Linked DNA regions of Callithrix jacchus. The protein of the gene in region 2 purifies or fractionates together with the protein of the main gene of each other region. This does not show direct contact. Links are inferred from orthologs where the notes say so. Each region holds a gene or a part of one and is shown on either strand. Other genes may lie near its edges.

The links.
Region 1: the proteins of EIF4A1 (region 2) and IBTK purify together in Homo sapiens (co-immunoprecipitation; 4 studies listed by BioGRID and IntAct, counting the BioPlex papers as one, with this or other methods). This does not show direct contact. The link is inferred for Callithrix jacchus from reciprocal best matches to the Homo sapiens genes EIF4A1 and IBTK.
Region 3: the proteins of EIF4A1 (region 2) and EIF4G3 purify together in Homo sapiens (co-immunoprecipitation; 6 studies listed by BioGRID and IntAct, counting the BioPlex papers as one, with this or other methods). This does not show direct contact. The link is inferred for Callithrix jacchus from reciprocal best matches to the Homo sapiens genes EIF4A1 and EIF4G3.

What each region holds. Positions count from the first base shown.
Region 1 is NC_133505.1:87,752,421-87,756,072, forward strand, and holds part of IBTK (inhibitor of Bruton tyrosine kinase), read right to left. Parts: intron 3,426-3,652; coding exon 3,315-3,425; intron 1,612-3,314; coding exon 1,441-1,611; intron 121-1,440; coding exon 3-120; intron 1-2. UniProt on the Homo sapiens protein: Acts as an inhibitor of BTK tyrosine kinase activity, thereby playing a role in B-cell development. Down-regulates BTK kinase activity, leading to interference with BTK-mediated calcium mobilization and NF-kappa-B-driven transcription.
Region 2 is NC_133506.1:74,068,825-74,071,133, forward strand, and holds part of EIF4A1 (eukaryotic initiation factor 4A-I), read left to right. Parts: intron 1-821; coding exon 822-990; intron 991-1,107; exon of another isoform or gene 1,108-1,248; intron 1,249-1,313; exon of another isoform or gene 1,314-1,343; coding exon 1,344-1,453; exon of another isoform or gene 1,454-1,477; intron 1,478-2,180; coding exon 2,181-2,309. UniProt on the Homo sapiens protein: ATP-dependent RNA helicase which is a subunit of the eIF4F complex involved in cap recognition and is required for mRNA binding to ribosome.
Region 3 is NC_133508.1:58,037,233-58,041,603, forward strand, and holds the start of EIF4G3 (eukaryotic translation initiation factor 4 gamma 3), read right to left. Parts: upstream 2,943-4,371; 5' UTR 2,921-2,942; coding exon 2,715-2,920; intron 1-2,714. UniProt on the Homo sapiens protein: Component of the protein complex eIF4F, which is involved in the recognition of the mRNA cap, ATP-dependent unwinding of 5'-terminal secondary structure and recruitment of mRNA to the ribosome. Functional homolog of EIF4G1.

The DNA.
Region 1 (3,652 bases), on a different chromosome or scaffold from region 2:
ACCCAGTTGTCCACCATTTAGTCCCATAGTGTAAACAGCTTCTCTAGTCCACAGGACTGTATGAAACCTGCCTGCTGCAACACCAATGATTGTCCTTCCTTTCAGATATTTTGCCTGTATCTATTCAAAGACAAAACTGCAATTTACTATATGTCTATGATCTAGTACAATTTTTCAAAGATCCAGCAGACAAGCAAATATACGGTATAGTTGCTGTTCATGCCCCCTCAAGTGCAAATGGAAGTTGTCACTAATAGAGCTCAGCACTTATACTAAGAACTGAACCCTTCTCAGAACACAAAACATTGTAATGCAGCCTTATCAGTCAGCAGTTTTAACTAATTTTTATACCATGTCTATTTTCTAATTTAACAGAAATTTTCTAATTTAATAGCAAATATTTCAGTACAAAAATCAAATTTTTTAACTTTTAGCTATATTTTTTTCTAACAAGTAGTATGCAAAACAGCCAGTTTCATTCTTAATAGAAAACACAGTGCTTTTAAATTTGATATTTCCATGGTCTCTAAACAGTGGCATTATTGACATTTTGGGCTAGATGACTTTTGGGCATGAGATTGTCCTATGCACCACTGTGTACCTTCTGGAGAAGGCTGTACACATGAGAGTAAGGAAGTAGAATAAAGAACACCGGTTTTTGGACCCATGTCCCCTCATATCAACTTGTCACATGTGTTACCTGTGCAGGGGCAGATTTAATGATGTAAATAAAACTTAAGACTCTGGGTTCCTCACTTGCATGAGCCCATTTTGCATGGATAAATTTCAGATTTTTTCTTAAGGATGGCCTAAAAAGTGTTTTAAGTTTCAAACCCAAAATATCTGGACCTCCCTTTGCTTATAAATCCTCAAAAGAGACAGTTGGTGGCTAATCTCCCAAGTGCTGAATTTCCCAAGTGCTTTCTTTCTTACTCCAAACAAATGCTAATATTTACTATGCTTAATTTCTCCTGTTAAAAATAAAGATAACAGGCTGGGCACAGTGGCTCACGCCTGTTATCCCAGCACTTTGGGAGGCCAAGGCAGGAGGATCACCTGAGGTCGGAAGTTTGAGATCAGCCTGGCCAACATGGTGAAACCGTGTCTGTACTAAAAATATAAAAAAAAACTAGCTGGGAACGGGGGTGTGCACCTGTAATTCCAGCTATTCAGCTATTCGGGTGGCTAAGGCAAGAGAAACCAAGAGGCAGCGGTTGCAGTCAGCCGAGATCACACCACTGCACTCCAGCCTGGGTGACAGAATAGGACTCTGCCTCAAAAAAATAATAATAACAATAAATAATAAAGACAATATATACCATTGAAGATAAAGTTAAATAACAGAAATAAGTTGCTCTGTCGATAACTTACGTTTTTTTTTTTGTCCATACAGGTTTTATTGCAAATGTAAAGCCTTTATTATTTAAGAGTCAAGTTTACCTGTCTAGGTACATTACAACTGGAAGGAGGAGGAATAATTCCTAATTGATGAAAAATATTTAGGCCAAATGTATAAACACATCCATCTTCAGTTAATACAACAGTATGATCCTTAGCAGCTGCCACTTGGGAACAATTATGACCACTCAGCCCTTCCACAAATCGAGGGACCTACAAAATAAAATTAACTTTAGTACACTGCATTAACCATTTATAGAGATATGCAAATAGAATTTGATGATACTACATCCAAAATGACATGACTGATACATAGTTATATCTATCATAGGTAAATTCTACATTTCAGCATAGAGAAGATGAGTTTAAAAGGATATGGTTGCAAGTTTATGAACAAAATAGAAAAGCCCAGTAAAACATTTCAGTGAAATAATTCAATTCAACAAATGATTTTTGAGCCCTCACCATATAACAAGTACAAATTTGTTTGGTATGAATAAAGGCAGCTCATCAAAGTATTCACTGGTATATTGAAAAAAACAAAAACACAGAATCAATGCTTCCCTTCACGGAGTAGCCAAACATATAATACCAGATTCCTTTGGAGTCATTTATCTATCCTGGGTTCAAATCTTATTGCTGTCACTTACTACCTATTTGATCTCAACCAAATTTTTTAACCTCTATATACCTCATTTTCCTTATCTGAAAACATGATTGCTATTACTAGTACCATCGTCCTGCATTAAATGTAAATAATACCTGTGCCTCACAGGGCTGTTGTGAGGCTTAAGTTAATGTAGAAATTATGTATGAAAAGCATAAACAATGCCTGGAACAAAATAAACCCTCAAAAATGGAAGCTATTATCCCACCTTTTTAAAGTACAATTTAATAGATAAGTATACCAGAAGTCCCCACAAAAAAAAGAAAAAAACTTAAAATAACCTAGTGAACCAATTTTCTGAGAGGTAATGAAATAGATTTCTTCTAATTAGCACTAAGTTTCAGAAGCATAAATATCAACTTTGTGACCATACAATGCAAATACTGGCTCAATTTTAAGGCCACAGAAATCTTAATGAGAAGTTAAAAACATAAACCAGAACTACTTCAGGAAAAGCATTTTACAATTAGTCTGCCTGCTTTCCTTTTTTTTTTTTTTTTTTTTTGTTTTTGAGATGGAGTTTCACTCTTGTTGCCCAGGCTGGAGTCCAGTGGCACAATCTCTGCTCACCGCAACCTCTGCCTCCAGGGTTCAAGCGATTCTCCTGCCTCAGCCTCCCGAGTATCTGGGATTTACAGGCATGCGCCACCACACCCAGCTAATTTTGTATTTTTACCAGAGACGGGGTTTCTCCATGTTGGTCAGGCTGGTCTCAAACTCCCAACCTCAGGTGATCCACTCGCCTCGGCCTCCCAAAGTGCTAGGATTACAGGTGTGAGCCACAGGCCCGGACTAGTATGCCTTCTTTTATTTCAACTCTGGAAACATTTTAAAGCTTACTTTATATACCTTCCAGACTCAGTATTTGCTATAAGCAAAGTATTATTTTTCTTTGATACTTCTGCATTGTGTATAAATCCTTAATTTGAACATGATATACCAAGAAACAGATTATTTTAAATCTATTATCAATTGGTGTATAATTCCTTGCTTACAATTGAAAAAAAATGTAGTTAACTGAATCCTCAAAATAAACCCTCAAAAATGGAAGCTATTATCATTGTAGCTTTCCCTGCTTTTTAAAGCACCATTTAATAGATAAGTATACCTAAAGTCCCCACAAAAAAAAATCTTAAAATAACCTAATGAACCAATTTTCTGATAGGTACTGAACTAGGTTATCAACATTTGAGCTTATGGTAACTATTTTTCTAAAGTTACCTAAACAGTGTAATGACATTTCAATTACCAAGCATGTCTGTTCATCTCCATGTCCTAATCGCCCTCCAGGACCATGACCACAGGTATAAACCTGCCCTTTCTGAGACAGAAACACGGAGTGAAATTTACAAAGCACCACCTAAGAGAAAATAAGAGAATATTGTTAAACTCCTCTGAATAAAATATCCTTTATTTTATAAAAAAGAAATAGAATGTTGCTAATTTTTAAACTGGATAATGTATACAGGGGAATTCATAAGACTTCAATTTCCACGTTTTAAGTTTTCTGTAATAAAAGAAAATATATATCTATATATATGTGTCTTAAAATTATATCTAAAAACACTGACATAAAAAAAGAACAAA
Region 2 (2,309 bases):
AAATAGAGCACTTATTGAGGCTCAGGGCATTAAACGTTCTGTGGCAGATGCAGTGACTATTCTGGGTGTGAATAATGTAAAGTTACAGCAGAGCTCTTGTTCTAAGGCATTTGGGACTCAGTTTTTCTGAGTGAATATGCCTTGTAGCTTGCGTCCTATGGCAGGAGTGCAATAGAACATGGATGTGCTCAACTGTTTTATAAAACCGGTTGCTGGCTGGGCACGGTGTCTCACTCCTATAATCCAAACACTTTGGGAGGCTGAGGCAGGCAGATCACTTGAGGTCAGGAGTTAGACCAGCCTGGCCAACATAGTGAAACACCATCTCTACTAAAAAAATATAAAAATTGGCCAGGCATGGTGATGTTGGCAGGCAGTGGTTATCCCAGCTACTTGGGAGGCTGAAGCAGGAGAATCACTTGAAGCTGGGAGGCAGAGATTGCAGTGAGCCAAGGTTGTGTGCCGTTGCACTCCAAATTGCACACCAACCTGGATGACGAGCAAAACTGTTAGTCAAATTAGCTTTCAGAAAGTTAAGGGTTCTGAATGTCTAGAATAAGACACTGAATTATCTGAGCGGCTTTATTGTGACTCACTGTATACTCAGGAACCAGACTGAGTTGAAATCCTGTCTTGCCACCTATTGACAGCACGATCTTAAGGATTTTAACCTCTGCCAGTTTCTCAGCTGAATGTGAGTTTACTAATAGTGCACACCCCCCAGGGTGGTTGGTTAGGAATAAGTATGTGAAAAACATTGAATGGTGGTGCCTGGCACAGTTGGAGCTAATATATGAGCACCTGTTTTTCTCCGGGCTCAGATACAGAAGGTGGTTATGGCACTAGGAGACTACATGGGTGCCTCCTGTCACGCCTGTATTGGGGGCACCAATGTTCGTGCTGAGGTGCAGAAACTGCAGATGGAAGCTCCCCATATCATCGTGGGAACCCCTGGCCGTGTGTTCGATATGCTTAACCGGAGGTACCTGTGTAAGTAATTGAGTTCAACAGTCCCCTAGGTCACTTCCTCTCATGCATGCTTTCCGCGTCTTTCAGCTTAAGCCAAAGTCATTCCTGAGGATGCTCATTTCCCTTATGGGAAGAGTTGCTCTGTGATGAGGCCCATGCGTGTCATCTGAGTCTGGCTTTCCTGGCAGTGCAGCCCAGGCAGTGTTCTACTTGCCAGGGCTGATGTCTGGCCAGGCAGGAAAGTCCTCGGCAAAGGATCAGTCTTTGTATTCTGAGAGCAGACTACTTGGTCCCTCTGTTATCAGGAAAGTTGGGTACATATATCACACATTTACCTAATTATATGCTGTATATTGGCTTTTTTTATTCTCTAGCTCCCAAATACATCAAAATGTTTGTACTGGACGAAGCTGATGAAATGTTAAGCCGTGGATTCAAGGACCAGATCTATGACATCTTCCAAAAGCTCAACAGCAACACCCAGGTGAGGGCAGTCTTGCTTGAATAGCTGAAAAAAAAAAATAGTTAAGGACAGAGTTTGGCTCTTGTTGGCCAGGCTGGAGTGCTGTGGTAGCTCTGCCCAGCTGATTTTTTGTATTTTTAGTAGAGAGGGTTTCACCATGTTGGTCAGGCTGATCTCAGACTTCTGACTGCTCAGGTATTTGCCCGCCTTGGCCTCCTAAAGTGCTAGGCTTACAGGCATGAACCGCCACACCCAGCAGTGATTATTTTCTAGAAGAAAAATAGCAAGTGCTAGAAGAACCAAATTTTGGATTGCTATCTTGACTTTTTTTTTTTTTTTTTTTGGCACCCACTTCACTTTTTTTTTTTTTTGAGACAGAGTTTTGCTCTTTTTACCCAGGCTGGAGTGCAATGGCGCAATCTTGGCTTGCTGCAACCTCCGCCTCCTGGGTTCAGGCAATTCTGCCTCAGCCTCCCGAGTAGCTGGGATTATAGGCATGCACCACCGTGCCCAGCTAATTTTTTGTATTTTTAGTAGAGACGGGGTTTCACCATGTTGACCAGGATGGGGTCGATTTCTTGACCTCGTGATCCACCTGCCTCGGGCCTCCCAAAGTGCTGGGATTACAAGGTGGCTTGAGCCACCTCGCTCGTCCACCCACTTCAGTTTTAGGTGTGACTAGGGAAGGGAGCAGGCGTCAGAAAGGACACCTAAGAAAGGCTCTAAGGCTGGCCTTTTTCTCCATTAGGTAGTTTTGCTGTCAGCTACAATGCCTTCTGACGTGCTTGAGGTGACCAAGAAGTTCATGAGGGACCCCATTCGGATTCTTGTCAAGAAGGAAGAGTTGACCTTGGAGGGTATCCGCCAATTCTACATC
Region 3 (4,371 bases), on a different chromosome or scaffold from region 2:
CACGCCTGTAATTCCAGCACTTTGGGAGGCTGATGACGCCCTACAAAAAATTACCTGGGAGTGGTGGCACACGCCTGTAATCCCAGCTACTCAAGAGGCTGAGGCATGAGAATCACTTGAACCCAGGAGGCAGAGGTTGCAGTGAGCTGAGATCGCACCACTGCACTCCAGCCTGGGCAACAAGACTGAGACTGGGGGCGGGGGGCGGGGGGCGGGTGACTGACTGAACTTATTAATTCAATGCAAACACAACCATACCCATATATTTTGAGTGTCTGGAGATATATTCAAGCCATGAAAAGTGAAACTCCAGCTAAGCACTCCTGCCAAGATGCTTAAATGTTATCAACTTACTGAACAATGACAACTTGCGTCAAATACAAACTCCCATACTCCCTCAGGGTAGAAAAGTAGAACTGCTCTATTTCAATCCTTTTAAATCAATATCCCATTACCAATTGATAACACTTCACCACTGGTATATGTTCCGATGAAATCTACAACCTACACTTCATTTGCTGTTCATATAAAATTTTCCATTTTTGCAATTGTAACCTTTCAGTGTGTAAAAGCAAAGAGAAAATATTAAAAGCTGTGAAACACATCAAGAGGAAGATTAACTTTAGCTTCAATGGCATGAGGCAAACTAAAAACTTAAAGCCACATAAAACTAAGTATTCCATATTACTACAAATAGGTTTAAATGCTCTATACTGGAAATTACCCTTAAATTTATCTATTTAACAACTGCTTTTTATTCAAAAGAAAACTAAGTTTCAGCTTTTGTAACTACTTGTATGTTGCAACCAACTCAGAGCTTTTATAAGTCCTTCTATGAAATGCACTGAGAAAAAGTATACTTGAAACACTTATGTCACAACTCTTTGTGTCCCAAAAAGCCACCAAATTCACCAAGCAGTGTCACATTCAGCACTGCAGTTCTTACTACTTTGTATATCAAGGACACCTACCATAGGTTTCCCTTCATTTCTGTTTAATTGCCTAAACAGCTCAAAGATGCAGGTAATGAGTAATTTACTTGGTGGTACAATTCAGAAACTTAAAAGTCCTAACCGAGTATAGGCAATCAAGGTAAAAAAATGAAATTAGAAAGTAATTTAAACTGACAAATTATTAAAATAGGTTTAAGAGATCCATCACTGAACTCTGCCTTGAAGTAAGCAAACCAGTCAACCTTACCCCTTCTCCCCTCACCATAAAGCAGCTAGAGACATTGACCAAAACTAACCATGTTTTCTATAAGCAACACTAAGTTATCATTACACTTTCTCATCGGTGAGCAACTCCTAATTGAACAGAATCATGCAGGATTAAAACATTATTAAATCAGTACACACATCACACTGGAATGGAATTCATCTTTGCACTGCGCCACGGTGCCTGGATTGAAAAACGTGAACTATATTTAAAGAACAGAGAAAACGACACTTGACAGAAACCAAACAATGACCTGAAATGACTCTAAGGGAGATTGTTTTCCCTTCTCAAAGTAATCTATACAGACAAGAATCAAACTACAGTCTGTGAAATAATCTGGGGACCTCACAGCAGTTAGCTTCTAACTTGCTCAAACACACACCCTACAATCTCTACAAGTCAAACACACGATGACACAAATACAAAAACACAACACATCTAACATCCAATCATTATTTATTGATTTACACATATACAGTGGGTGTAGGGAGGAGGGGATGCATTATGAAATGTTATTCTCAGGTACGCAATACCTTTCTAAATCTCCGTGGAATTCATGAATTCAACGTTTTACCCTCACCGTCTAGTTTTTGACTAAAAGACCAAGTCTTTTCAATCAAAGCTGTCCAAAATTCTACTATCGAGCAAGTAACATGAAATTAGAAACATTCAATACTAGACTTTCCTCCAGAAGCCCTGACAACTCTCTAGACATCAGGCCTATGAAGAGTAAATTAAAGCCCATTAAAAATATTCAGCTTAACACAAATCTTCCAAGAAGTGACACTTTTGTGGGTGATGGGTAATGTCAGTGAACTTCCTCTTCCTTTAAAAAGGTCAAAGACAGGGAAGCGTCCAGCGTCACATTTCCTCAGATCTCGTTCTACCACAAACCACATCACAACTCTCCCATTTCTAAAAAAAATTATCCAGAGGGGCTGCTTTCTGTACATTTTCACCTTACACTGAAAATCCAACTTACCTCGGAAACGAGCTGATTAGTTTTAAACAAGAAATTCACCGATAAAGTTTATTATGTACTAATAGTAATTAGGAAAGCCCACTGCGCCCCACTGTAGGGGGCGCCGAGGGGAGGTGAGGAGTAGGAGGGTGTAATCCTCACAATAATCAGAGAAAAGCCTTCCCTGCAGGGTTGGTCCCAGGCACCAAGCAAATTCTGCCCAATAAAGGGAGGGAGGGTACCTTAGGGAAGGAGGAGGGGTGAAGGGTCCCCCAGCTCTAAAAGGAAGGGGCTGCAGAAGCATGGACAAGTGGAGCTAGCTTTCACAGTACTACATAAGGTCTGAGGTTCCCTCTGCAGTGCTGCCGCCAGGCACCCCAAAAGCTCCGGCCAAGCCCAATGCAGGAGGGGCTTGAGCGGCAGCCCCCTTCCTGGCTGGGCTGTGGCGGTCCGCAGGAAGGTCCCCTGGGCTGCGGGGTCCCCCTGGGCTGCGACGACGACAACCGAAGGGCCGACAGGAAGGTGAAAAGGATACTGTTGGGGCGCCTGGGTCTGGAGGGCCCTGATGTTCGGGTGAGGAGGGGGGGCCGCCGCCGCCGCCGCCGCTGCTGCTGCCGCCGCCGCCGGGTGAGGAGGCGGTACCACTGCTGCCGCCGCCGCCGCCGCCGCTCCGGTGCCGGGTCCGGTTCCTGCTGCAGTCGCTGTGCCTGATTTCAGAGCCGGTTTCTGCGGTAAACTCATGGCAAAGCGAAGCCACCAACCCCCCCAGAGCAGGACCGGGCGCGCCGGGGTGCAGGGGCCAGGGACAGCGGGGGGGCGGGATGGGGGCAGACCCGGGGAGGCGGCGGGAGCTGGGGGCTGGGGGGAGCCTGGGAGGAGGAGGAGGAGGGGGCCGGGGCCGGTCACACACGCCCGACGCCGCCGCCGCCGCCGCCGCCGCCTCCGCCGCCGCCGCCGCCGGCAGCAGCAGCCGCCCCGCGGGCCAGCACCACCGGCTGCCGGTCTCCGTGACAACGCGACCCCAGGGGGGGGGCCGGACCCGGCGGGGGCAGGAGGCGGAGAGACCGGACCTTTCACGGCAATATCCTCATGGGCCGGCAGCGGGGGATCTTTATCCCCCTCCCCGGGGGAAGCGGCACCCTTCTCGGTAGCGGGGCTCAGGCGATGCCGGCGGATTTTCTTCACTCAACGAGCAGAGCATCCAACATGGCGCTGCGGCCGCCTCCAGCAGTCCGGCAGGACGGCCGCTCGGAAAACTTCGTGCTTTTTCGGAATAGCTCGGGAGGCCGATGGTGGGAAGCCTCTTCGGTTCTTTCCGGAGACTGAGAGGGGTCGGGGTTCTTCGGAGACACTCGGGTGCGCCTTCGGCCTCCGTTCGGGAGCGCTCAGTGGCTAACTCGCTTCCTCGGCAAAGATCGGCGACGGGGCTTCTCGGGCTTGCTACCGCGCGGGTGCGGGGCAGAGGCAGAGACCAAAGGCGAGGTCTGGCCTGCGAGAGTCCTTTCCTACCGCCCAGCCTCGAAAAACAATGGTAATGGCCCCTGGTAATGGAGCCTGCTGTTTGCTGGATCCTGCCTGCAGGGACGGAAAAGCAGTGGTGAGGCGAGAAACCCCGGTTACTGGGGAAGGAACCGCTTAACCGGAATGGAACCTGCTGGGTAGGGACCCGCTGCCGGGACTTCGCATAACCAATGCTACCCTCCTGCCCTTAACCACGCATTTCACACCCATTGTGTCGACACTTCTTCCTCAGACGCTCTGAGAGGTGAATGGAATGAGGAGACCCATTTCCATAGGACACTGAGAGGAAAAGTGACTGGCCCAAGGTCACCCTGCAGGGGAAAGGACAGTGCCCAAATCTAAATGCCACCTTCGTCCGGATGAACCTTGCCACCTCCCAAGTTGGCTGGGGACATGATCTGAGCCGCCATATCTAATGAGCAGCCTTAACTGAACTCTGCGGATGAATTCTAACCTAGGCCTTCCCCAGGACTGGAGCACCCTTTGACCAGCAGCCAGTGATCAGCTCCCCAGTGTCCTATGCTGGGTGACATTTGTTGATAAGGATTTTCTTCCCAGCTAGACCTGCCAAGATCACTCCCAGCCCCACCCCCCAGCAGGGGCCTTGTCTTAAGCATAGTAACATTGAGTGGGAAAGAAGGGCAGGCATCCGCCAGGCGCAGAGGCTCACA